Rattus norvegicus: one gene and its partners. The protein of the gene in region 5 interacts with the protein of the main gene of each other region in a pairwise test. Links are inferred from orthologs where the notes say so. Each region holds a gene or a part of one and is shown on either strand. Other genes may lie near its edges.

Region 1 (4,105 bases), on a different chromosome or scaffold from region 5:
AAACCGGATTAGTACCCGGAACTCTGACTTTGGCTCTGGCTGAAGCTGGTTGAGCCTTGCTCCTTGAGGATGGACCGGGGCTGCCGGGAGGATGAGGAGAAGACTGAAAAAGAGAAACAAAAGTGTGAGGTGGATTGTGGGACATAAGCAAGCTGCCAAGGAGGGAACTGGATTGCCAGGACTCTGGGAGGAGGGCCTCAGCCCCGACCCTACAGAGTCAAGCTGTTGTCCCAGGAACCTTACCTTCTCCAGAAGAATAGGACTGCCCAGAGGAGTGCTGTGAGGAGGAGCTGCTGGGATGGGGGTGGGTGAGAAGAAACACAATCATTAGATGTGCAGAAAGCAGCAGAGGAAGAGGTACGGTGAGCAGGGACTAAGGGCCAACTCACTGGACATTCTCGCCATCCAGCAGACGGCGGTAGGTGGCGATCTCCTGCTCCAGCCGAGTCTTCACATCCAACAAGATGTTGTACTCCTGGCTCTGCTGCTCCATCTCGCAGCGCAGCTGAGCCAGCTGCTCCTCCAGGCTGCCGATCAAACCCTGGATCTGGGACAGCTGCACGCAGTATCTGCCTTTGGTCTCTTCTAGGCTGTTCTCCAAGGATGCTTTCTGTGAGTGAAGAAAGTACGGGGGTGATGATCAATAGCGATGGTGTCCTCTGTCTCTGCTGGCCCCTGGGACATATTTTAGATAGGTCCGTGGATCTTGACCCCAACTGGAGCAGTAATTAGAAAAGATTTATTGGAAAAATATTTCCCATACTTTCTGACTTTATTTTCTCTATCTGTATAATGGGTACCACGGTGCCGCCAGTCTCCTGCCCTGGTGACCCCTGAGGGAAGGGGACTACTGGACTGCACTAGGACCAGATTCTTCATACCATGCTGAGCTGGGACTGCAGTTCGATCTCCAGGCCCTGGAACACCCTGCGGAGCTCAGACACCTCGCTGCGGCCGCTCTGTATCAGCTCATGGTTAGAAGCCACCTCTTGGTTCAGCTCCTCGGTCTGAGACAGAAGACAGGAAAGGGGGTGAGACTCTGCACAGCCTCCGTGGCCAGAAGTCACAGAGGAAGCGGGTCCCCACCTTGCTCTGGAACCAGGCCTCCACATCTCTGCGGTTCTTCTCTGCCATCTGCTCATACTGGTCCCTCATCTCGTTCAGGATGCGGCTCAGGTCCACACCAGGAGCTGCGTCCATCTCCACGTTGACGTCCCCACCAGTCTGACCCCTCAAGGCAAGCATCTCCTGCAAAGGTCATGAGGGTTGGTCACTTCTCCTAGGGACCTCACCACACTGCCTTGCATCTCCCAAACCCAGCAGCAGCCCCACCTCCTCGTGATTCTTCTTCAGGTAGGCCAGCTCCTCCCTGAGACTCTCGATCTGCATCTCCAGGTCTGCCCTGGACATAGTCAGTTCATCCAGCACACGGCGAAGGTTGTTGATGTCACTTTCCACTAACTGACGCAAGGACGTCTCATTATCATACCTGGGAAAGAAAGGTTACAGTGACAGATGGACAACCCTACTCTTTTGTCCTTCCCTCTGCCCTCTGCCCTCTGCCCTCTGCCCTCTGCCCTCTGCCCTCTGCCTACTGCCCTCTGCCCTCTGCCCTCTGCCCTCTGCCCTCTGCCCTCTGCCTACTGCCCTCTGCCCTCTGCCCTCTGCCCTCTGCCCTCTGCCCTCTGCCTTCAGCCCAGCATGCTGGTTGCTCACTTGGTCCTGAAGTCATTAGCTGCCAGCCTGGCATTGTCGATCTGCAAAACGGACTGCGCATTCTCCTGCTTGGCTCTAACGATCTAGAGGGAAAATGAAAAGATTCAAGGCCTGATCACCCAGAAACCCTGCTACTCAAGGGCCAAGGAAGAGGGGAGCAAGAGGAGCCAACCCACGCCTAACAGTTCAGCTACTACAGCTTCTGACAACTGATTGCTTACTTCTACTCCCAGCTCAGGTTATGTAGGGGTGCACTGACATCTATCATCACCTCTATCCTAGGTCCAGAGCTGAGGAGGTGAGCATGTAGCATAAAGTGGCCTCAAAAGGATTAAGTGTCAGAGTCCCAGTTCCAGCTGAGGCATGGATGCTCTTAAAGGACCTTCAGCAATGTCTCTGGATAGCACTGACCTTTAACTTGAAAAGGTCTTCAGTCTACTTGCTTATGTATCTGTACAGGTGTCTTCCCAAAGCCCATGGTTCTGCTGTCGTCTCATCCACCAGAGCCACCCACCTTGCTCTGCAGGTCCTCGATGGTCCTGAAGAAGGGGGTGTAGTCTTTGATCTCAGTGGGACGCTGCCTCTGGTACCAGTCACGGATCTTCACCTCCAGGTCACTGTTGGCCTCTTCCAGGGCACGCACCTTATCCAGGTAGGTGGCCAAGCGGTCATTGAGGTTTTGCATGGTCACTTTCTCACTGCCAACCAGGAGCCCATCGCCAAGACCACCACCAAATCCACCACCAAGTCCTCCACCAAATCCACCACCAAGTCCTCCACCAAATCCACCACCAAAACTGCTGCTGCTGAAGCCCCCACTATAGCCACCTCCAATCCCACAGGCTGCCCCAGAGGAGAAGCGAGAGGAGGTGACCGACATGCCCCCATAAGTGCTGGGAGCCCGGCAGGATCCTCCAGCCAGGACGGAGGACATGCGGCTAGAGCCACCACCGATGCCACAGGAGCTCTTCATGGAGCTGGAGGAGGTGAACTGACGGCTGCAGGTGGCCATGCTGAGGAACGTGAGAGTGTGGGTAAGTGAGCAGGGAGAAGAGAGAACTGCTCAGTGGAGGGTGCAGATGCTGAGAATGCCTCAGACACCAGACTCTTTTATATGCACCGGGAGAAGGTGGGGCCCTCCTTCTGCTGACTCCAGGTTCCACTGTGGATTTTGTCAGTCAGTCCTGTCCAACTACCCACTCTGGATTATTCAGCCCAGGGTGGACTCTCTCTTCCATTTGCTGGCTCAGAGTTCCTGCCTACCTTTTGGGGTGTGGGGCCAATAGAAAAACACACAAATTCGAGTCAGTAGTGACTCAGCTTGTGTGGCCAGAAATGGGCTTCTGTTCCTTGAGCCTGAGGGGACAGCAACAGGGAGGCCTAGGTGCAGGCTGCCTTGTGGCAGGCGTGTCTTCAGGCAGTGAGTCAACCAGTCCCTGCCCCACAGTGAGAACCTTAGGTGGCTGGAGTTTCATGAATGCCATCCCAGACTGCCTTGTGATACTCTCCATTTAAAAGGTCCCTCACCATGGATCCCGAAGCCCTTCATAACTCTTCTCTGTGCCTGCTCTCCCCCTCCAAAGAGACAAGTCCAGGCTGGGTAACTGCAGCCCTTTCTAGTTCTAAAAAAAAATCAAAGATTTCATTTCCCATGTGATGTAATTTGGATTTGGAAGCTGCCTTTGAGACACCAGGATGTCCACAGTGGTGTACACCACAGCATTCTCTCCATATGCTGCCACATGCCTACACTTTCCCTCACCCAGTGAACAATACAGGAGGATCCTGTCACACCTATGGGTCTCAGTTCTTTTTTTTTTTTTTTTTTCGGAGCTGGGGACCGAACCCAGGGCCTTGCACTTCCTAGGCAAGCGCTCTACCACTGAGCTAAATCCCCAACCCCTGGGCCTCAGTTCTTGCGGGACACCTAAGAGTCACAAGAAGCATGCCTGGAGGACCCTACCCCTGTGGACTGTCTGTTCATCCTTCTTCTGCAGCCTTGCTGCCTTTCTTACCAACCTCCATATCCTGACCCCTAACATATGAGCCCTACACTTAGAGAGCACCCACCCGCAGTTCCTCCATGCCACCTCCTGCACTCACCTACACAGAGTAACCCACTGTGCTCTGTAGTGGACTCTATAGGAAGGAATTCCATCCTGCTCCTGATACTGCTTGTGAGCCATCAGCCCTAACCCCACTCTACCCCTCAAGGGCCTTAGAGGTCCCATGTGGAAACCATCTTGCCCAGATTTTCCCTAGCTGGGCTTGGTGCCTCTGTTCATCCAGTGTGCACAGGACTTTAGGATGATTAAGTCCTGCAAGTTAAGGTCAAATAGTAAATTTACGGTAATTTAAGACTCTGATTTAATTATAATAAATGTTTACA
Region 2 (3,500 bases), on a different chromosome or scaffold from region 5:
CTCTCTTGGGCATATACCCAAAAGATGCTCCAACATATAACAAAGACACGTGCTCCACTATGTTCATAGCAGCCTTATTTATAATAGCCAGAAACTGGAAAGAACCCAGACGCCCTTCAACAGAGGAATGGATACAGAAAATGTGGTACATCTACACAATGGAATATTACTCAGCTATCAAAAACAATGACTTTATGAAATTCATAGGCAAATGGATGGAACTGGAAAATATCATCCTGAGTGAGGTAAACCAATCACAGAAAAACACACATGGTATGCACTCATTGATAAGTGGCTATTAGCCCAAATGTTTGAATTACCCTAGATGCACAGAACACATGAAACTCAAGAAGGATGACCAAAATGCAAATGCTTAACTCCTTCTTTAAAAGGGGAACAAGAATACCCTTAGCAGGGAATAGTGGGCAAAGTTTAGAACAGAGGCAGAAGGAACACCCATTCAGAGCCTGCCCCACATGTGGCCCATACATGTACAGCCACCAAACTAGATAAGATGGATGAAGCAAAGAAGTGCAGGCCACCAGGAGCCGGATGTAGATCTCTCCTGAGAGACACAGCCAGAATACAGCAAATACATAGTTGAATGCCAGCAGCAAACCACTGAACTGAGAATAGGATCCCCGTTGAAGGAATCAGAGAAAAGACTGGAAGAGCTTGAAGGGGCTTGAGACCCCATATGAACAACAATGCCAACCAACCAGAGCTTCCAGGGACTAGGCCACTACCTAAAGACTATACATGGACTGACCCTGGACTCTGACCTCATAGATAGCAATGAATATCCTAGTAAGAGCACCAGTAGAAGGGGAAGCCCTTGGTCCTGCCAAAACTGAACCCCCAGTGAACATGATTGTTGGGGGGGAGGGCGGTAATGGGAGGAGGATGGGGAGGGGAACACCCATAGAGAAGGGCAGGGGTAGGGGCTGGGGGATGTTGGCCCCGAAACCCGGAAGGGGAATAACAATCGAAATGTAAATAAGAAATACTCAAGTTAATAAAGATTAAAAAAAAAAAAAAAAAAAAGAACCCGGTGAATGTCATTCACGGACGAGGCACCCACCAATAGTCTCGACTTACGAGAAGGCAAAGGTCAAAGGTCATCAGACAGCTTAGTGGGTAAAAGCACCATCAGGGAGCCTACTGACCTGAATTCAATCCCCATAACCAGTCTGAAGGGGGGAAAAACAGAAGCAACTCCACAATGCAGACTTCTGACCTCCGCACATGGGCCGTGGTGTGTATGCATTCTGTTCCCACCCCTGCATAAATCGCACACTCATAATAGTATTCTTTTAATTTTAAAAAGAAAGTAAATGTTAAAAAAAAATAGAAAAGTTGCAGGGTGTGGTGGTACATGCCTTTAATCCCAGCACTTGGGAGCTAGAGGCAAATTGATTTCCGTGAATTGGAGGCCACCCTGGTTTACAGAGTGAATTCCAGGACTTCTAGGGCTACACAGAAAACGTCTATCTCAAAAAAAAAAAAAAAAAAAAGAAGAAAGAAATTTTAAGATTGATTCTCTTATTACAGCAAAAGTTCTTCATAAAACATAGAACAAGCCTGCAAAAAATATTGAGTATCTAAGTAATTCACTTGTTGTCAAAGCGAGAATGACATTTGCCAGTGTGAGTTAATTTAAACAATGTTGATTTCCACATTCAAAGAAATGACTTGTCCCCTGCAGAATCAGCTTGTTTGTATTATTAGACTTTTGGTGAGAAAGCCTTCTCTGCTGGGCCAGCCCTCCTCCTCTCATGTGTTTCTGCTCACCAAACCGACGCCTTTAACCAGCCGCAGTCTCCTTGTAGAATGTCACCGGACCTTCCGCATACCTGGCACAGGAAGTGCTTCGCTTTCAACGCACAGCAGATCAGCTTTGCCGGCTAGCATGGCTAGGAAAATGCTTACTTTCTGGTGTTGCTAACGTTTATTCAAGTAGGGTAAAAGAGATGAGTGAAAGGAAGTGGAGTATCTTCCCGTGAACTCGCTGTCCCAGAGAAGGAAAACTACAGAGATCCCTGCTTCTCTTCAGTAGGACACAGACCAGCAGGAGAAGCTGTCAGGGGAGGATGGGCCAAGGGACCAGCACTATTGTGAATATCGGTCTCGAAACGTGGCGTCATGCAGGCTGAGGATTTTGTTTCAGAGATGCTTCGGACTAGATCTGCTCCAGATCTCTTAATTTTGACATATTTACATATCTTTAATATGTAAATCAAAATAGAAAGATGCCTTAGGTATGGTACCCAAGCCTAAACATGAAATTCAGTTACGTTTTGCCTTCTACCTGAAAATAATTGTATGCCATATTTTAATAATTTTTGCGTGAAACAAAGATTAACAGTGTGGGATTTCTCACTTTTTGGCGTTGTGTAAGTTCACAAAAAGTTTCGTGCTTAGGAACAGTTTTTGGATTTTTTTTTTCAGGTTAGAGATGTTCAACATGTAAAGCTTGATCAGCCCACTCTTTCATCCCCTACCGTATTATTTAATGATAATAAAATATAATTATTATTAGTACCATATTATTTCATTATTCTTCATGTGTGTTCACGGTTGGTTCTTACTTTGTACAGACAATAGAGACGGTAGCATGAAGTCTGCTTTTAACTTGTCACCAGGTGACACACCCACCTAAAACGGAGGCCACCCATTCTCTGTCCCTGAACTACAATAAGAAGCACTCGTCCACTCGTTTACCAGACCCATTTTCTCTCATGCCTGTGGACAGAGCCTCTAGACTATTTTTTTCTACTTTCTAGTGTCACTCATTGTACTCTGTGTGTTCTTAAACCAAAATAAAGCCCACTGCTCGTCCCCTCACAAGCTCCATGAAAGGACTATGCTCACTCATTATCTCTCTCCTCACCTACCGCCCTCCCCCCTGCCCACTCTTCCTAGAGAGATTGCCTGGCCTTAGAATGAGCACCAGCTCAGCAGTGGGGCTGTTGGCTACTGTCCCTTGGCCTCACTGTTGCCTTGGCTTCCACCCCAACTCACTTTCTGGGTTGTCCTATTATCTCATGCTATAGACTTTTCCAGAAAGAGAAACGGAATACTAGAGAGCCATGTCTAAGTGGCCGGAGATCGTCAGTACCTCAGGATGTGGGTGCACTCACCAAGGGCGATGTTCACTTCAGCCACGCCCTCCCTCTTGTCTCACCTGCTGAAACAAGAGTTCCTCTGCTTTGAGTCGATCCATCATTTCCTGCTCCATCATAGCTAATTCTCTCTCGTGCTCCAACGCAATCAGTTCTTTCTGTCTCTAGCAATTGGTATGAAAGCAACAGCACACAGTTAGAGATCCAGAAGTGTGTAAATGCGACCTCAGAAGCGTCTCAATTACAAGCATTAGAAGGTCTGTTAAGCAAATGATGGTCTATTCACTTGGAAACTATGCAACGATTTTGGGGGAGTTTTAGGTTTTAGGTGAATGAAGAATGCAAAATTAAGATTATACCATAAATATAAATAAAAAG
Region 3 (4,295 bases), on a different chromosome or scaffold from region 5:
AGGCCTGGAGCTGCCTGAGTTGCAAGTTGGGAGAGCCAAGTCCTTGGCAGGATTCCAACCTTGGGGAAGGAAGGGGGTCTCACCTGGATCCCTTCAAGGAAGAAAGATAGGTGCTCTCTCGGGCTACTTGGCGGGACAGTGAGAAAAGTTCTACCCTTCGAAGTAAAAGGGTGTTGTCCCTCATGCAGAACTGGGCAGCAGCCTCATTGATGGTCAACTGTGGCAAGAGGACAATCAGTGTGAGTTCTTGGTTCTCCTACTGCTTTTCCCCTTCACCACCAAGGGAGGCCCATCCAAAGAATGCCTGCTTTAAATAATACCCAGGACTTAACTGCCTGAACTTAGAGACTGTCCCTCCCAAGGCCTCCTGTTCCTGGCATGTGAGCAGCACAGGGTTTCGTTGCCATTATTCTTCCCTTAGGTTGAGGGAAGTGAGGCAGCAGCTGGGGTTGGGTATGTGTGGGTGTGTGGAAGGAACTGGGGTGGTCAAGGGGACAGTGATACAGAGGTGGAGGATTCTGAGGCAAGTGAACTGAGCCCAGGAGTGAAGGGCAGTCCTGAAGACCCAGGTACTCACCTCGTGCAAGCTAAGCTGTTTGCCCTCACGCCGTTTGGAATCCAAGCGGCCATAGATGATGCTATATTTTCGGATCTCCTCTTCTTTCTGGCTGTCGTTATCATCCATCTCAAAGATGTGCCCCACACTCCGTGCCAGCTTCTTATTCAGCTTCAACAGGGATGTGATCTCTCCAGTGTCACCCCTGGGGAAACTCCGGAAGATCCTCTCCACACTCTCTACCACCATTCGCACCATCTCTGGTTCCAGGCGGTCTGGACCACCCCCTGTGCCACCTGCAGCCACCCCCCCAGCCCCAGTCCCCTCAGGGACTCCTCCCCCTGCAGGGGGGGAGAAAGGGGGAGACCCGGCCTCCTCTTCTCCTCCTGCTCCAACATCAGATTCTGGAGTGCTCTGGCCTGGCCAGATCCGGGGATCCCCTGCACCAGGTCCTCCAGGAAGTGGTGATAGCTTCTCTCCAAGTTCAAGGGGACTCTTGGGGCTAAAGCTTCGAGCACTGCCCGCCTTTTCTCCTGGGCTGCCATGCCCATTGCTCATGCTCCCTTTCCGGGTACCAGCTGTCTCAGAGATCTTGAAAAGTGGGATGCTGGAGACAGGCACAGCAGGCACTGGTTGGCTGAAGAGCCCTGGGTTGGTGGCCCATTCTCTCAGAGCCTTCTGTAGACGTCGGACATGGAGTGGTTTGGTGGCCATGCCCACAAGTGCCATGATTTCCAGGAACTCCTCCTCGCCCGCCTCACACAGCTGCTGTACATCATCCCCTCCCTGCTGGATGAAGGTCTCGTAGTAAGAAAGAAGGTTGGCACGCTGCAGGACCCGGTACAGCTGCAGCTCACCCAGTGTTCGAGGCAGTGCCATGGTTGAGGCACTTGCCCTGAGAAGGAAGGGCAGGAGACAGGCGGTGAGTACAAGTGTCCTGCTGGGTACCAACCAACCCACACTAACAGTTGTCCTCTTTCCTGCCCAGTGCCCAAGGTTGAGAATGGAGCATTGCTCAGTGGCACAAACATCCCATATTAAAGTTAACTTAGAATACTAGGGGCTACTGCTGGCCACTTCACTCCTTGCCCAGGTAGCTGGGAGGGAGGGGTGTGGCCTCTTCCTTGGCCTTTAGGGAACCTGGTAGACCCTTGCTCATGTCCTTAGGTTCCAGGGTTTAAAAGCACTCTTCCTAGAATCTGTCCGAACTTTCTAGGCTGCCCAGTACCCTTCCAGTTACCCCCTCTCCTTTGATTGGTCCTTCTCTTCTGGGAAAGGGGGAGGGAAGCCTTGATTGTTCTGCTCTGGGGCCGTTCTTCCCACACACTCCCACAGGAGCAGCGTCTGTAGGCGAAAACTGCCTGGGGGCTCCCGCCTACTCTCTTCTCCTTGTTTTCCATCCTTATCTTCAAAAGGGAGTGCGAGAGAGACTGAAGGCCTCTTGAGGAAGGGGCTGCATGCGGGGGCTACCCCTCCTCATTCAGTGAATGGTCATTTCATGACAAGGGAGGCCTGAAGCACACCCCCTTCAGGCCCACAGATGCTTAACTCAAAGGAACCACCTTCTCCCAGACCTAGGGGTGGTGCGCTGCCGGCTAATGACACACTAAGACAGCTAAGCTCCCCCACCCCTCACTGTTGACAGATCAAGCTCTGGAGCTCTCCCTGGCGCTGGGGGACAGTCTTTGTAGGGCCTCACGTACCAGGTTATGCCCACTGAGTAAACCTGGAATGGAAAATGAGGCAGTACTCTATCGTAACCAGGCTCATTGGGTCTTTGTTTGCTCCCAGGATCCCCCAATTCGAATACTCACCCCCCCTTTTCTATCAGTCTCCACCTCCCACCTCCCGATTCTCCACGTCCTCTTTTCGACCCCCACCCCCTAGACCCCCATTCGGGAGTCCAACTCCACCCATCTCCACTCCCTGCCACCTCCTTTTGCCCACTAACTTGACTCTGGGTTGTGGGGTCCGGCGGGTGTTATCCGCTCTGCCAGGTGGCTGCTCCGCTGTGGGAGAGGGCGCTCTGTGCATGGACGGCCAGAGATCACCCGTGCCTCCCGTCTCGGTGCCCGGCGCCTGCTGCGCGCTGCTCTTTGCCTGGAGCGCGCGCGGCCCGGGTCCACCGCTGTCCTGGCTCCGTCCCTCCCTCCACGTCTTCTCTCTCGGAGCCTCCGCGCCTCTGTCTGTGCCTCTGCCCCCACCTCCCCGGCTGAGCTTGCCGCCTCTCCGCGCCTCCTCCCCCGCAGGACGCACAGGGAGCGAGGCCCCGCGCTGCGCTGGCTGCCGGGCTGGCGGGAGGAGGGCGTGGGCAGAACCGGGGGCTGGGACCGGAGGCGGTGGGTGGGAGCCCAGGCCTGAGCCTCCGAGAGGCTGCTGCGGAGACTGAGAGGAGGAGACTTGGGGGAAGGTGGGGGGAAGGTGTGGAGCAGGAGGCGGAGGCGGGGACTCAAGAATCGGGCTCCGAGTTGGGGACTGAGGTGACCGAGGCCGAGCTATGGAGGGGGGAGCTTGGGGACCCAACGGGCGGGGCAGGTCGCTCCTTGCCGCCCACGCCGGATGCACAGCCGGCCCTCTCTGCGCCCACGTACCCACGTGAGCGCCCCGCCGGCTACATTCCTACTCCCTGCACCACTCCTACTCCTGTGAGCCGAGAGCGCAGTTTCACAACCACGCACAAGTATACAAAGACACGCGCACGTACGTGCACACGCGTCTAAACAACGACGCGGACGCCCGTTGGCCGCACTCTGGCCGCGCCATGCCGTTAGTTTGAATGTTAGAAGTGATGGGAAAAAAGTTGGAGAGGGGTCCGGGTGTTCGGTTCCTCCTGCTCCGCTCCCGGAGGATGTACCCTTAGGGTAAACTTGTTAGCGCGGGGCTGCGCAGGAATCCCTTCGGTGTTTCAACACCGTTCTCTGGCCTAAAGGTTGTAATATGAAGAGGCGGCTCTCAGAAACCCTGGTCGTAAGTTATACTAGAATCTACTACTTACATGAGCGTTGGTTAGGCACGTCGGGGTTTGGTAGGTAGGACAGGGATGGGGTTACCATGCTTTTTTATTTTCTGATGGTCAGGCCTTACTGCTTGGATTGGACGGCAAAGCCAGGAAAAGGTGGCTGCCTTCTCTGAGGTCATGAATTATTGGATCTCTCTGGACAGTGTAGTGGAAGCTTGGCAAGAGGCTAAGAGTAGTCTACGTGACTGCCCACCACGGAGGACCGCCTTCAAGGAGCCCAACCCCCTCGGTTTCTTCTAGCCCCATCTGGTTCCCATTACACGCCCACGGCTAGGAGGGTTGGGGGGGGTATTGGGCACGTGGGGGTTGTGTAGGCCTTTGGGGAGAGAGGGTGGGGGTGGAAAGCGTGGCGGACTGGCCAGAGGGAGGAAACGTCCCTCTAGTTAGAAACCTCGGCTCCGCCCCTTTGCTCCGCACTTGAGAGTGGCTTGCCCCAGCACGGCGTGGGTAGTGTGGGTCTGGGCGGGTTCTACATTCCAGATTCATTCCAGACTGACGATGGGGGATCTCTCGGTTTCCCGAAGAGGGATGGGTACTTTATCAAGGAGGAATGATTTCAATAGGTCAGGTTTTTGTCTTCCGTCCAAAAATACTAGGGATGTAGGAAGGCGCAGGGTCCTTCTCCCGAACCCCTTTGCTATATGGAGGGCGCGACTAGACGGCCTTTCCTTCCATGTATGCAACGCCCCTCCCCCACTCCCCAGTCCGGTTATTTTGGAG
Region 4 (4,108 bases), on a different chromosome or scaffold from region 5:
TTATACCCTGTCTGACGTCAATACTTATTACTATTTTTTTCATAGTCACATAACTTTTATTTTGAAAACCTTTCCTTAAAAGTTCTTTGCTTATAAAATATACAATAACCAGATATTTAAGATATTAAAAACAAAGAAATGTATGTTTGAGTTCAGGAATTGTCACTGTGAAGACAAATGAGATGGTGACTTCGTGTGAGGCACTGTTTCATTATAGAGAAGCTGTTAATGTTATCATAGAAATTTTCAAAGTCATGTTTTGTAAATCCATTAAAAAGAGTCAGATACACACATAGCAGTCATTTTTATTAGATGCTAATCACTGACATCAGTGCAAGGGCAGGTAATTATCCACACAATTCACATACAGCCCATACACTTGGACTTTAACATTAGGCTTTCAGCTCTACATTTATTTCATTACTTCAAACATATATTACGATGTATATTTGTTTCCAGTTTTTTCAAATACATCTTTGTATACATATACGCATATATATCATTCTTAAATATATATTTCCAAATATAAATAATTTCACATCAAGCCAAACAGGATAAAAACATGTAAACATATGCACCTCATTTTGGTCAAGTAAAACAGAACCACAAAATAACCACAAGTTAACAAGTGCACTTGAAAGAGAAGAAACAAACATGTAAACAAACACAGACAGCAGCTGCAAGGTCCTGTAAGGGTCCATTTTTTTTTTAAGGCTATATAGCAAAAAGCTCATAATTCAGTTAAAGACTTTTGTCACCTTGTCACATTTACTCTTAAGGGACTTCACAATGAGAAACTGTAAACACTAGACTAGAAGTGATTGAATCCTGTTGGAAAAAGACATCACAAGTCATCAGCTGACAGAAATATTAATTCCACCAAACAATACTTATAAGATTTCTTGTTATTTTGTAACACGGAGAAACATCACAATCCTAGCGAGAAGAAATGGGAAATAGAGGAGAAAACAGCAATACTGCATAAAGATTGCCTCAACAGCCTTTGAAAGCGATAGGGTTTTTGAGTCAGTCGATAAAGGGGAATAAGCAACAGCAGACAACAGAGCCTTAGCAGACCAGACCACATGCCACAGCGTGATACTACAGATTCAAATTGAAATATTCTTCCAGCTGGTACTGAAGCAAGAGCCACCGGTCATCAGAGATGGAAAAACTGCCTCGCAGGCAAAGCAACTTCTTAAGCAACTGATTGGCCAGGCGAAGCACGGAATGCTCCTTTTTACGGCTTTTAAACAGCACGCTTCCCTCTCGCAACTGCACAGGCTCCAAAACTTGATGCCAGTATGCGCTGGACGATCCACCACCATCTGGCCTCGGAGGCTGATCTCTCCAGCCCTCGGGGTATTCATGCTTGTAAAAACAGAATTCTCCAAATGGGCAGTGACCTAGGCCTCCAGCAAAATACCTGCAGGCTTTCTGGCTCATCCCCTCCTTATATTGCTGAACAAGTTTCTCCTTCTCCTCTTCCTCCTCCACCCAGAACTCACTAGGAATGACAAAGCCAGAGGAGACCCTGCACTGTGGGCAGGACTTACTGATCCTGTTCTCAAACTGTGTGGCACTTCTCCACCTGCGGATACACTTAAGACAGTAGGTGTGGTTGCAGCTGAAAAGGATGCCAAAGCGGCGGTCGCTGGGGTCGGCCTTCTCATAGACAACCTCCATGCAGATGCCACACACTTTGTCCATGCTGCGCTGCACAGCAAAAGAGAGTTCCATATCTCTCTCGTGTGCTTCAACGCAGGCCCTTCTATGAGCTTCCTGCTGAGCTGCATCCCAAGGGTGCAGGGCCTGTTGCCCGCACATGTCGCATATTTCTCCATGGGGGTATGCACACCTGTCCCCACGGAGGCATTGTCCCCGAGCAGCATAGCGGCAAAGCGGCAGCGGCATTCCCATGCCCATAGCCATATGCTCTCTCTCAATCTCCGGGCTCTGCAGAGGAGCCTCGGGACCATGCGGGGGGATCATGCGACCTCGATACGGCTGTCCAGGAACAAACTCAATTGCCCCCTCCCAGCCTTCTGCACCCGCTCCTCCCGCAGCACCTGCTGCAAGGCCTGCATTGTCAATCTCAGCTTCAGGGAAGCCCCTTTCAGCAGCTGAGCCAATGCCTGCATTGTCAATCTCAGCTTCCGAGAAGCCCCTTTCAGCAGCCGAGCCAATCAGAGGCAAGGAGCTTGAGGATGCAGTAGGGGGGGCTTCCGCCACTTCCTGAGTCGGGGGCTCCCAGTGAGTGGCCATCTTGGGTCCTCTGTCTGCAGAGGCCCGAGGCTGAGAATCTTGGCCCCCCCTAGCTTTCCGCCGCCCAGAAAGGTCGTGAGAGTAGCGACAGTTATCGCCCTCCTTGCACTGCCCATGCAGATAATACCTGCAGAGGATTTGCTTCGTCCAGCTGCCTGTGTTGCGCTCCGGACCAGACCTGGCCCCGCCCCCTTCGGCTGGAGCGGGTCTCAAACTCGCCGCGCGCCGGTTCGCAGGGACTGGAGCCATAAGAAACGGTGCCAGGCCCGATGCCTCTTGCAGAGGGGCTGAGCTGGCTACCGCAGAAGCTCCAGAAGCCTCAAACTGAGGAGGGGGGGGGGCAGACACACCCTCCCCCCCCTCAGCACCTGCCTCGGCGCCGGCGGCCTCGTAGGCTTCCATGGGAGCTGTAGACTCTTCCATCACGCAGCGTGCCTCTAACACTGTCCAAAAACCCGAATATTATGTCTTTTTTGTGCTTGAATTGCGGAGCTGAAGATGGTCCGATCAGCTTCTTCTCGGAGAGAAGTGCATCAATTTTTGTCTTCCCACCTGCTCCCTGTTCCCTGAGAACTTTGGTTCCTACCTGCTTACAGGCAGCCGGACACTTCCGGTTGTAACACCATTTTCCGGTGCTTCACCGGAAGTTGCTTCCGCCATGTTTTTCCCGTACCGGTAACCGCTTAAGATATTGGAATCGGCTTCTGCCGGCTCTCTTAGAGCGATTCTGAACTCCCCAACCCCCGTTTCCACACTGTTTTCCTTGAAGGTTGATGTTTTAATCTCTCCAGGTTTCGGTTGTATACATTGCATTTTATTTTCGTTTTCAGTTAAGAAAACGCTACAATCCTTGCCTTTGCCATCGGCTGCTATTGACATTTATAGAACATTTCACTCATAAACATTAAAAAATATTTTTCGGTTCAATCTGTCTTTTGTTTATAGGTGACTACTTTTTAAATCGAAAAGGGGCCCCCCCGCCGAAGCATTTCTCCTTTGACGCTTATAGATCTGACACAATTTCTTTGGGTCTTTTTTCCTTGAAGGGTTAATTTGCGTGCACTTTAATTAGAAGGGAATCCTCTGCCCTGAGGCTAGTCAGACAGAGCCTTTCACTTTCCTGCCTTTGTTATATATCCCCACCCACCCCACAACAAAGTAGAAGCCTAGACTTTGTCTAGCCCTGATGAAGACTTAATAAGCCAAGGTCTGAGAGTGACCCAGGCTTTTAACTTTTTTCTGTTGGTTGGATTCGGAGACCCTTTGTTCCCTGCCTTCCTTTTCATCCCATTCTGCTCTCCCGAGCTTTTCATAATACAAGCTCTTCTTTGTGCACCAAAGTGTCTCATTTCCATTTCCACATTGAGCCGCAGTTTTGTTTTGTTTTGTTTTTTCGTTTTGCAGATATATACTATTGGACTAATAATTTCATATATAGTTCTACAATGCTACATCTACTTACTATAGTGTCATACTAAATTTTATAGTGTAGTTATTTGTGGGTTTTTATTTTTAGTAATAACCATGTTGTCTTATAATATTTAATATACTACTTTTTTCCAAAACTAAAATTATGCTTGCTAAAATAATTTTATTACAGGCAGTCTTACAAACTAAGGTTAAAAAAACTCTGAATGCTTTTGATATAATCATCCAACTCAAAATATTAAAATATTATTCTCCACTAAATAAAGCCAACAACAATAAAACAAGCTAAGAGGAACATTATCAAAGAATATAGATAAAAGAGGTGAAATGAAGCAAAAGTAAATATGAAATAAGGAAATAGAATAAGCGAAATTTTTCTTGTATAACTTATCAAGAAACATAATAAAAGGCTCAG
Region 5 (3,500 bases):
ACAGGCCAGAGACAGGAGAAGGCTACCGCCTGCCCCAGAGCCCAGTTACCACCCCCTTGGGATGACTACCGGCTTACCTCAAGGCAGCAAGCAACCTCCTCGGCTCTCCATGAGCCATATGCCCACCACTTGGCTGAATGTCAGGATCCAATAACAGTGTCTGAACACCAGGGTATACTGCCTAATTATTTGGCTATTTCCGGGGCTGGAGAGATGGCTCAGCGGTTAAGAGCACTGACTGCTCTTCCAGAGGTCCTGAGTTCAATTCCCAGCACCCACATGGTGGCTCACAACCATCTGTAATGGGATCAGGTGCCCTCTTCTGGTGTGTCTGAGAACAGGGACAGTGCACTCACATAAATATTTCCATTTATGGGTTGGGCTTTTAGGCCCTAAAGCCGGGCACAGAGGCCAGCAGTCCCAGCCCCTAGGCACTAAGGAGATCACTGAGGAGGTAGAGACCAGCCAAGGCGTTATGGTGGCACTATCATCAGGATCTTGTCAGGATCCAGACCCAATTGTTACAGAGCTAAGCAGCATTCAACAGTTCCGTTCAGAAGCAACCTCCTCACCCTGTTTTAAGACTTGACATGAACATGTCATTACTGTCACTTTGAACCTTTGAACCATGTTCCCTGGGGATGGTGAGTTAGTTACAAGGACAGAGGTCTCAGAACAAAAGTGGCACACCCAAGAACCTGAGGGCACCTCCCAGAGCCTCCCGCCAGGACTGTCCCCTCACCTCTGTAGCCCTGAGCACCTCCCAGAGCCTCCCACCCAGACTGTCCCTCACCTCCGCAGCCCTTGAGGGCACCTCCCAGAGCCTCCAACCCAGGCTGTCCCCTCACCTCAGCAGCTGCTGCAGCTCTGCCTCCCGTGCCTTCTCCAGCTGCAGCTGCTCCTCGATGACCTGCTTCATCTGGGCCGCATCGGCCATGGCTTGCTCCCGCCTGGCCAGTTCGACTTGCTGCAGCTCATTGTCCTTCTCCAGCAGTGCCTGCAGGATCCGCCCATCTGCCTCCTGGATGCAGGGGTGGGCTGGTCAGAGCCCTGGTGCAGCAAGGTGAGCCCGCCCACCTTCCCACATAGTCTCTTCTACCCAGCCATGTGGGGCCTGACACATTCTCAGGACCGAAGGGAAGGAGTTGGGCCACAGCATCTGCTTCAGGCACTGCACAGGTCAGAAACTTGACCCCTCCTGCCACCTGTACCACCACAGGCACACGCCCCTGGACATGCATGACAACAGCACAGCTCAGAACACTGTATGGTAGGAACCTGTCTAAGAAATTACAGCAGAACTTGAACAGACACATGCACGAACTGCTCACTGCAACTGTAAATGTGGGAGCCCAGAATCCCTGAACGCACACAGGCAGGGGGTGCTGGATTAGCCGTGTCTACACAGCTCAACACGACAACAAAAGCAGGGGGATCCGAGGTGCAGCAGAATGGTGACAGCTCACCCCCAGCATCCTACACTTCATGACAGAGACACCACGCAGCTACCGAGTACGTTTGTCTTTCCCATAAAAACGCCGTGAGCAACGCAACTGAACAGAAGGAACTGCCTCAGGGGGTGTGTGGTAAGCAAGACCAGGAGATCTGTGCAGAAGCAGGCTGCAGACAGGAAGGACACCAAGGGAGGCAAGGAGAAGCTCGATGTGTGCCCCCTGTGAAATGACTGCTAGTTTAGCCAGCTAACATCTGCATTGCCTCCACGGTTTTTCCATGAAGACCTAAGGGTGAGCCAGCGAGACTCAGCAGGTAGAGCCCCTGCCATACTGACCTGAGCTGAAGGAGGAACATCCTCCTCAGGAGCCTCCTCTGACCTCCAAGTGCACACGGGGCCACATGCATGCCTGCCTCCCACACTCTAGCAGTAACATTTCAGTTTCTGTTCACCGGTTCTGAGTGTTTCAACTGAATACATGTGCACCTCGTGTATACCTGGTGCCTTGGAGCACCATGTGGGTGCTGGGAACCAAACCCAGGTCCTCTGCCAGAGCAGCAAGTGATCTGAAGCACTGAGCTGCCCCTCCACTCCCCAGCCTGCATTCATTCATTTACTTACTTATTTTAAATGAACACCTACACACCACGTATGGCGGCACATCCTTTAAACCCAGCACTTGGGAGGGAGAGGCAGATGGATTTCTGTGAGTTTAAGCCCAGTCTGGTCTACATAGCATGTTCCTAGCCAGCCAAGGGTACACAGTGAGAGCCTGTCTCAAAAAAACAGACGAATGCAGCTGGACAGATGGCTCGGCGGTTAAGAGCACTGACTGCTCTCCCAGAGGTCCTGAGTTCAAATCCTAGCAACCACACGATGGCTCACAATCATCTGCAATGAGATCTGATGCTCTCTTCTGGTGTGTCTGCAGACAGCCACAGTATATATATAAAATAAATAAATAAATATATATATATATATATATATATATATATATATATATATATATCTTTAAAAAAAATGCAGCCCACCATGGCTGCACCAAGCCCCGGCAGGCACAGACTGGTAGTGTTGTCGAGTGTGACCCACTCTCTTCTCCTCTGCACCGCCCAACACTGCTCTGGTCCCACCTGGGCTTTATGCAAGGACGCTCGCACTCGGGTCCCGCCTGCGCAGTGGCGATACCGTTCCCAAAGGATGGAGAAAAGCCTGCCAGCACCACTTACTCACCAGCTCCTCCTGGATCTGCTGGGTGCGCCTGTTGAGCTGCGCATTGTACTGATGTCGCAAGATGCGCCTGCAGAGGGGAATCAAGCCGCTTCAGTCCCGCAGAGCCAATCAACATCTGCTCACCGCAGGCCACACCCCCTTTGGTTCTCAGAGGCCCGCCCCCCTGGAAGAGCCCAGGCTTCCCTACACACCCTAGCTCTGTCTTGCGCCGGACGATGGCCATCTGCTTCCTTTCGTCGTCCAGCCTTTCCAGTTCCCAGTGCTGCTTCAGCAGGTTCTCCTGTTCCTTCTTCAGTTTGGTGGCCTGTGGTAAGACGGGGCAAGCAGACTGTCCTCGTGCACCTCTCCGTGTCGGGCAGGTACTACGTAAGCACAGGCTGGCCTAGATGATCATGATCCCCTCATGTGTCTCATGAGTCCCACCTCAACTAAGCCTTGCTACAAGCCTGGCCCAGCCAGAGAGACTTCCTGTGCCGGCCCTCACTAGCTAACTTAGCTTCAGTCTCTTGGGCCAGCACAGCCACCATGGGGAAACCAGAGATGAACATGTCCTTGTTTGGACAAGGACACTATCTCTACATCCACAATGAGTGGTGGGCACTACATCCCTAGTTATTAAAACAATGGGGCGGGGAAAGGGACACAGGAGACCAAAGAAGGTCTCTCTCCATCTGAACAGAGGACTCTGCTCTCTCAGGAAACCACAGCGTTCTCAAAGGCAGCTCACTGGACCAAGATCCCTCATGACTTACACACCGAAGCCCAAACTCGTTACTAGTAGAATGCTGTGCGCTGTGTGCTAGAGCATGTCCCACTG
Region 6 (3,500 bases), on a different chromosome or scaffold from region 5:
TACTTAGAATAGATGTTAGCTTCTAACATCTATGATTAGCCATTTCCAAAGGAACAAACTACATGTCCTTACTTAGTTCTGTGACTATTGCCTTGTCCATACAAGATATCAGAGTAAAGGCCTTAAGGTACAACAACATTGCCAACACAAACTATGATTACAAACTCGCTCCTTTAATTCACTGAGATATAAAGATATTCCTCATAACAAATAAGTCACTCATTTGTTTCTGATTAGAGGGTCAAGTGCTGGATATAAAAAGGCTTATCTGATAAAAGTATAAAGAAAACAATTTTAGTCCACAAGCTGAGTACCTACTTATAAAAAGGCCTTGAGTGGTGGTCTACATGAAAGTCTGCTGCTTCTTTCCTATAAGATAATAAAAATGAAAATAGTTTAACTTGTGTTAATAAACTAAAATAAAGATTAAAACACATAAACATGATCTGTATGCAAACTAATTAATGTTTTTTCTACCAAACTGCATATTCCAAGTAATGGTTCTATGTATAATAAGATAAAAAATTAAAGTAAGAGGATAATTTTACTTTTTTATTAATGTTACACTTCATCTGTCTTCCATTTTACTAGTATCTCATTATTCTTAATATATTGTTAGATATCAAATCGATAAGAGTATTTGTTATTTAAAGTCTAAACAAGTTACATAAAAAACGGACATCTTCTAATTCAAAAATCAGAATCAACTTTAGGCTTTAGAATTTCAGCTACAGCTTACCTTGTTTTTTGTCATCTGTTGGGGATGAACCTAGGGCCTGACTCATGCTAGCTGTGAGCTCTGCTGCTGGGCTGTATGCCAAATGCCTGCAGGTTTTAATTTACTAGTTGTTGCTTACTTCTTAGATATCTTCAAGGAAAAGATCTATATACTTGTATTTCCTTAATTGCTTGGCAAATTATACATATTAAAATCTACATTTCCACTAAAAGTAGCTCTGCGGACAATAAAAAGATACTATGATCTAAACTGGTAAGCTTAGAGCTCTAAAAAACAGCTTCTGCCCCACCAAAATCTTAACTGTGGTGCTTTCTCATTGGACTGAAAAGATTTTATACTATGTAACAACTATATATGAACAACAATTTTTTTAAAATGTTAGTTTATTTTAAATGTAGAGGATTTAGCCTGCATGTCTGTTTAGCACATGCAGGCAGTTCCTGCTGTGGTCCAGAGGAGGGCGTCAGATTCCCTAGAGTTACAGATGGTGTCCACCACCATGTGGGTGCTGGGAACTGAACTGGCGTCCTCTGGAAGAGCAGCCAGTGCTTTTCACTGCAGAGTTATTTCTTCCGCCCCTCAACTAGTTTTTAAAATGGCCAATAAACTAAAATTGTTCACTAGCAAGAACCCCACAACCTTTTAGACTTGAGAATTAATTTTGTATACAATGCTTTTAAGAGCTTATCTATGGCTAGGGAGGCCATAGACCATTGTGGGAAACTTACTGTTGTCCGTTAGCTAACTTGACATGGTGTCAAACTGTCTTCTATGCAACTGTTTGTACCTACAGACAAATGCTGCTCTCACGAACCTTACTCATGTAAGCCTCTTTCCAGCGAACAGGGATGAACGCGAAGATTCTAGGAGGCTCAAGGCACTGAGAGAAGGAATAGTCAAGCACTCGGCCCTAAGGAAAGCTCTCCCCTAGTGCCCAGTGCTGAGCCCTAACCAAGACAGTTATACCATCCCCTTAAGGCTCAGGGGCGATCATAGACGCATGGGTCGAAAGAGTGTAAGAGATGGGCGACTGGGAGAAAGGCTGTACAATGTAATGATCTGCAGGGCTCCACACAGCCATTGCAGTCATGACCTCACTGCTGCGGCTGCCTACACTGGACCTGAGCAGTACAGAGCAGTCAACAGTAGCACAGGTGATTTGCTAGTAAGTTCTGCATACCCTGCTCTGCTTCCTACTACTCGATGCCCCATCCCTTGTTTACCCTCGCATCGTCTCGGAAGTGTGCTCGTATTGTATGACATGGCAGCTATGACGTCAGCAGTGATAAAGCACCTCATCTCTGGGATGCTGAAGACTCCCATCAGATACCAGCCGAGCACTGACCAAATGCTGACAGGAGCTGCATCACGTCATTCATTTCTATCCTCCCTGAATCAGACCTGCACTGAAGGAAGGGAGACACACTTCCCTGTTCTTGGCTTGGCATTGTGACTATTCGGTTACCATTGCCCTTTATCCTGGGATCACAATTATTTTGTGATAGAAAAGGCTTACTGGGGTAAGTCTTATTTTCATCAAATTCTTTAAGAAATATCTAATTAGGCTGGATTGCCTTCTGGAGAAGTAAACAGGCATGCTGGCACCACAGTAGGCTGAGTAAAAGGTGAGTAAACATCTCTAAAGTCATCCCTTTTGGCAACCAGAACCAAGAGAAATCACTAGATGGTCACACACTCTATTCCTTTCATACAGTACACTCTTACTAGAAGAGATCGGGAACTCCTGTGACGAAAGCAGAAGGGAATATGGCCGTCACCACAGTTAGATGAGGACTAGGAATCTGACGAGAGCTCAGGCTTGGCTGATCGATTGCCTATTGCCTTGCTTTCATCACCATGATGCCACTCAGTGAAAGGACTTTTGCTGTTGTTCTGTGGGGTTTTTTGTTCGTTTGGTTTTTGCTTTTGTTTATTTAAAGACTGATGGGAACAATAAAAGACATTATATAACTGAAAACGAGCGACGCGTTACTACCTTGACAGCGTCATCATTCGGAGTTTGGTTATAGTGAACCCACTTTTGTTTATCATCTCAATGATTTCTCCAGCCTTCGATACTGCATCCGGTTTGATGAGGGCTAAAGTTCTGTGGGGAAATAAAGAACGGATCAGGAGACGAAAGCAGTCCTACCGCTTTTGTTTATGATTCCCAGTACTCATTTCCTTCACAGACATATCAGACTATTAACATCCAAATTGAGAAAAGAGAAAGTGTGTTAAAGATGATATCTCTTAAAAACTTACATAAAATATCACTATTTTTCAAAAGAAGTAAAAATTAGTTAAACCTTATTTTTAAAAAAGCAAGAGGCTGGGTGTGGTGACACACACATTTATTTAATTCTAGCACCCAGCGGACAGAAGAGGTAATTCTCTCTTGTGTATTTGAGGCCAGCCTGGTCTACATTGAGAGTTCCAGACCAGCCAAGAATATATACCAAAGACTCAATCTATTAAAATAAATATAATAAAATACAGTAAAATAAAATAAGAGGAAATGGTGGAGAAAGAGAATATGGGTAGGAAAGAACACTGAAGCTGTTATTCTTACTTTTTAAATTACATTTCTTTAATTCTCATGTGTGAGTTTATATATGTGTGGGGGCATGAGCATTCTAAAGCCTGTGAATGGAGGTCAAAAGTCAATCTGTCAAAGTCAGCTCTCGTCTGTCATGTGGCCGTCAGGAATAAAACTCAGTCCTCTGTCTCAGTGGTGGGTGCCTTTATCTGTTAAGCTTTC
Region 7 (3,500 bases), on a different chromosome or scaffold from region 5:
TTACCAAGGTTGAAGAGAAAACTATTTTTTTAATCAGAGCAGACTTACATACTAGGAAAACTTTCTTTAAAGTATCTTTGGTGGTTCAATTTCTCAAAACAGACTACTCGGAAGCTGAATACTATTTCTCAATGCTATTTAGCAGTCCATGACAAGAGCAGAGAGCAACACATCACAGAGAATGTACCTCTCGATGAGTAAATTACCTCAATTTCCTGTAACTGCTCCTGATTGGTTGTGTACATCTGCTGAAGAGAATCCTCCAACTCTGTGTTCCGATCCAGTAGCGTCTTTCCGAGTTCTGCAGCAAGTTGGAGATCTAGCACAATAAACAACAAACAGCAAATTCAGTGCGCTTACTTCAACATTTTATATAACCCAGTTCTTAAAATAAATGAAGCAAGTCCCAGCACATGCAAGTCAGATCAATAGAACACAGAATGCCCTAAAAGAAATCGGAGTCTTACTTAAAATTCAGTTGACCTGGGGCCTCCTAGCAGGTGAAGTAGTCTCTCATGCACCCTGTCAGACATGAATGACAGCAGCCTACTTGACAGAGATGTGGGCATTATTTCAGGAATGACCATTCAGTCTTACAGTTCTAAGATCATCATTTGGTAATACCATTATTCAAATCCTGACGTTCTGCTTTTGAGAGGAATTCTCTGAGCCAAAGACACGGGCCTCTGAGCAGACTCCAAAATTTCTAGCAAGCTACTGTGAACACAACTGTCAAAGCAAAGTTTGTTGTCTGGACTCTCTTCACTTTTTTTCTTTGAAGAGGTGTGTGTGTGTGTGTGTGTGTGTGTGTGTGTGTGTGTGTGTGTGTGTATGTCTATGAGAGTACATGTACTGAAGGTCAGACACATGCATTGGATCCTATGGAACTGGAGTTACATGTAGCTGTGAGCTACTGATGTGGGTGCCAAGAACCTAATCCAGGTCCTCCAGAAAAGCAGGACATACTCTTAATGACTGAGCTCTCCCTCTAACCCCCTATACCTAGATTCTCAAGGCAACCAAATATTAATGCAAGAAATGAAGAAGTACACCAGTGGTGAAGATACTTGTTTCACAAGTCTGTCTCTCCCCACCTCAATTCCTATCATATCTTTTTTGTTTTGTTTTTTCAAGACAGGGGTTTTCTGTGAGTCCTGACTGTCCTGAAACTTACTCTGCAGACCAGGCTGGCCTTGAACTCAAGAGAGATCTGCCTGTCTCTATCCTCTGAATGCTGGGATTAAAGGCATGTACCACTACCACCCAGACCTATCACAGCTTTTAAGCAAAGCAGCAATACAGTTTTGCTTCATGCTTCCTCCTTAAACATGGGGCCAGGATTCTATTTTATTCCACCCCCTCCCCTCTGCCCTGGCTGTCCTGGGAAGTCATAGCAATTCTCCCTCAGCTTCCTACATGCTAGGATTCCAAGTATGAGCCACCACATTTGGCTTCTCTATTTTAAAGCTTATTTGTCAATTGACTTCTTAGGCATATGTGTGAAGAAGACAGGTTTTGTTATATTACAATCCGAGGAATAGAAACTTAGTAATAATATATATATATATATAAAAAAAACCCTGACAGGATAGATAATCTCAAGAGACACCTATGCCCTGTCCCCCAAATAATTAAAATCTCCCTCGGAATCCCCTACCAGGGGAAAGGAAAGACTGTGTTCCACATAGTTCTGACTGACAACTTGTCAGTCCATCCTACAGGACAGACCAGAACTGAAACAACGTAGGTAGGACCACACCTTGACCGGCACTGCTTAGTTATATAAACCTCCTGTCCTCTAGTCACCTACATCTCATGTTAGCAAGTCCTTAAATGGACATGGAGGTACAGTCATCAGGCCCCTCATATTTGTTCCTATTCTCAGTATAGCCATGTTGAATAAATCTTTTGTTTTCCACTATCATCTGTCTCTTTAGTGGTGTATTGAAGATAGGTGGCTGAGCTCTGGGGTTGCCAGAGCACAAAGCTTTTACTTTAAAAATCCCAGCAATTATATGTACCAGAGAATAGCCTTGTTGGGGCACCAGAGGAAGGGGAAGTCCTTGGTCCTGTCAAGGTTGGATCCCCAGTGCAGGGGAATATGGGGGAGGGGCAATAAGGGGGATGTATAGGGGGAATGCCTTTACGGGGGAGGAAAGCCCAGCAATTATGGTGACACAGGTCATTGAAACAATTATCTCTGTAGTGCATTTTATGGGTCAGCTCTATGATATATAGTGGGAAATGTCATGACCTCTAGGCTGAAAGGTCATGACCCAGACCTAACATTTTCTAGAACAGTGATTTTAAATGTTTATTTTTAGTTGTGTGTTTGTCTGTCTGTGTAGGTATGTATAAATGAGTGCAGAGGCCCACAGAGCCAGAGTTTGAATTACAGGTAGTTGTAGGCTGCCTCATGTGGGTGCTGGAAACTGAACTTTGGCTCTCTGAAAGAACAGTATGTACTGGTTGCTTTTGACACAGCTGGAGTTATCACAGAGGAGGAGCCTCCCTTGAGGAAATAAATGCCTCCATGAGATCCAGCTATAAGCCATTTTCTCAATTAGTGATCAAGGGGGGAGGACCTAGCCCATTGTGGGTGGTGCCATCCCTGGGCTGGTGGTCTTGGGTTCTATAAGAAAGCAAACTGAGCAAACCAGGGGAAGCAAGTCGTAAGTAACATCCCTCCATGGCCTCTGCATCAGCTCCTGCTTCCTGACCTGCATGTGTTCTAGTCCTGACTTCCTTTGGTGATGAACAGCTACATGGAAGTGTAAGCTGAATAAACCCTTTCCTCCCCAACTTGCTTCTTGGTCATGATTTTGTGTATGTGTGGAAATACAAACCCTGACTAAGACACAGTACATGCTCTTAACTGCTGAGCCATCTTCCTAGCTCCCAGACAGCGATTGTAAAGGTCTCTAAACTTAACTGTCTTGTTTTGAGAAACAACTGTTCCGTTAATATCATATTATAAATATCAAAAGTAATAATACAGAACAGTCTTTCCAAGCTAAGCTGCAATTGGTTTAAAGATGTTTGTTGGTACAAACTCTGGCTACAAGAGCAGACTGGGTGAAGCTCCTACTTTGTTGACTTTCCTAAGTTACTAGGGGAAGCTACAGAGCACATAAACACTAAGTCTTCAAACGTGATAGCACCATCGCCATCCAAATGGTGCTTTGACAATTCTTTGACAACTGTATTCACACGCACACACACATGGATACGTATATATTCAGCAAGATCAGATTACGATATTGGGGAATATAAGTAGTTCAGGTTTTATTGCTTACAGCCTATGGGAGAAAGCGCACAATAGCATATAAAACAGAGAGCACCAGGTACTTGAGATCATGTAAAGCAAGGAAGGTGTATGGGGGAGTTTGGATGAGAGAGGCTAAACCACAGGTCATGCTATAATAAGGATGTGAAGAAACTGAGGAAGTATACATCTGAGGGAACAGAATACCAGGCAGAGGCAAGGCAAGTAAAAAGTC

The links.
Region 1: the proteins of Tchp (region 5) and Krt16 interact in binary tests that used the Homo sapiens proteins (3 or more experiments, as listed by UniProt). The link is inferred for Rattus norvegicus from reciprocal best matches to the Homo sapiens genes TCHP and KRT16.
Region 2: the proteins of Tchp (region 5) and Dydc1 interact in binary tests that used the Homo sapiens proteins (3 or more experiments, as listed by UniProt). The two-hybrid records come from large-scale screens. The link is inferred for Rattus norvegicus from reciprocal best matches to the Homo sapiens genes TCHP and DYDC1.
Region 3: the proteins of Tchp (region 5) and Nab2 interact in binary tests that used the Homo sapiens proteins (3 or more experiments, as listed by UniProt). The two-hybrid records come from large-scale screens. The link is inferred for Rattus norvegicus from reciprocal best matches to the Homo sapiens genes TCHP and NAB2.
Region 4: the proteins of Tchp (region 5) and Mkrn3 interact in binary tests that used the Homo sapiens proteins (3 or more experiments, as listed by UniProt). The two-hybrid records come from large-scale screens. The link is inferred for Rattus norvegicus from reciprocal best matches to the Homo sapiens genes TCHP and MKRN3.
Region 6: the proteins of Tchp (region 5) and Nme7 interact in binary tests that used the Homo sapiens proteins (3 or more experiments, as listed by UniProt). The two-hybrid records come from large-scale screens. The link is inferred for Rattus norvegicus from reciprocal best matches to the Homo sapiens genes TCHP and NME7.
Region 7: the proteins of Tchp (region 5) and Cdr2 interact in binary tests that used the Homo sapiens proteins (3 or more experiments, as listed by UniProt). The two-hybrid records come from large-scale screens. The link is inferred for Rattus norvegicus from reciprocal best matches to the Homo sapiens genes TCHP and CDR2.

The regions. Positions count from the first base shown.
Region 1 is NC_086028.1:85,669,412-85,673,516, forward strand, and holds the start of Krt16 (keratin, type I cytoskeletal 16), read right to left. Parts: upstream 2,801-4,105; 5' UTR 2,729-2,800; coding exon 2,231-2,728; intron 1,800-2,230; coding exon 1,717-1,799; intron 1,490-1,716; coding exon 1,333-1,489; intron 1,249-1,332; coding exon 1,087-1,248; intron 1,008-1,086; coding exon 882-1,007; intron 611-881; coding exon 390-610; intron 294-389; coding exon 244-293; intron 104-243; coding exon 9-103; 3' UTR 1-8. UniProt on the Homo sapiens protein: Epidermis-specific type I keratin that plays a key role in skin. Acts as a regulator of innate immunity in response to skin barrier breach: required for some inflammatory checkpoint for the skin barrier maintenance.
Region 2 is NC_086034.1:16,981,532-16,985,031, reverse strand, and holds part of Dydc1 (DPY30 domain-containing protein 1), read right to left. Parts: intron 3,287-3,500; coding exon 3,185-3,286; intron 1-3,184. UniProt on the Homo sapiens protein: Functions as part of axonemal radial spoke complexes that play an important part in the motility of sperm and cilia. Plays a crucial role during acrosome biogenesis.
Region 3 is NC_086025.1:65,386,456-65,390,750, forward strand, and holds the start of Nab2 (NGFI-A-binding protein 2), read right to left. Parts: upstream 2,801-4,295; 5' UTR 2,591-2,800; coding exon 2,508-2,590; intron 1,452-2,507; coding exon 578-1,451; intron 218-577; coding exon 84-217; intron 1-83. UniProt on the Homo sapiens protein: Acts as a transcriptional repressor for zinc finger transcription factors EGR1 and EGR2. Isoform 2 lacks repression ability.
Region 4 is NC_086019.1:125,338,379-125,342,486, forward strand, and holds Mkrn3 (probable E3 ubiquitin-protein ligase makorin-3), read right to left. Parts: upstream 2,801-4,108; 5' UTR 2,689-2,800; coding exon 1,102-2,688; 3' UTR 286-1,101; downstream 1-285. UniProt on the Homo sapiens protein: E3 ubiquitin ligase catalyzing the covalent attachment of ubiquitin moieties onto substrate proteins.
Region 5 is NC_086030.1:47,542,949-47,546,448, forward strand, and holds part of Tchp (trichoplein keratin filament-binding protein), read right to left. Parts: exon of another isoform or gene 2,988-3,500; coding exon 2,875-2,987; exon of another isoform or gene 2,751-2,874; coding exon 2,684-2,750; exon of another isoform or gene 1,022-2,683; coding exon 849-1,021; exon of another isoform or gene 1-848. UniProt on the Homo sapiens protein: Tumor suppressor which has the ability to inhibit cell growth and be pro-apoptotic during cell stress. Inhibits cell growth in bladder and prostate cancer cells by a down-regulation of HSPB1 by inhibiting its phosphorylation.
Region 6 is NC_086031.1:79,221,462-79,224,961, reverse strand, and holds part of Nme7 (nucleoside diphosphate kinase 7), read right to left. Parts: intron 2,847-3,500; coding exon 2,736-2,846; intron 370-2,735; coding exon 319-369; intron 1-318. UniProt on the Homo sapiens protein: Possesses an intrinsic kinase activity. Displays 3'-5' exonuclease activity with a preference for single-stranded DNA. Does not seem to have nucleoside diphosphate kinase activity.
Region 7 is NC_086019.1:184,945,537-184,949,036, forward strand, and holds part of Cdr2 (cerebellar degeneration-related protein 2), read right to left. Parts: intron 320-3,500; coding exon 207-319; intron 1-206.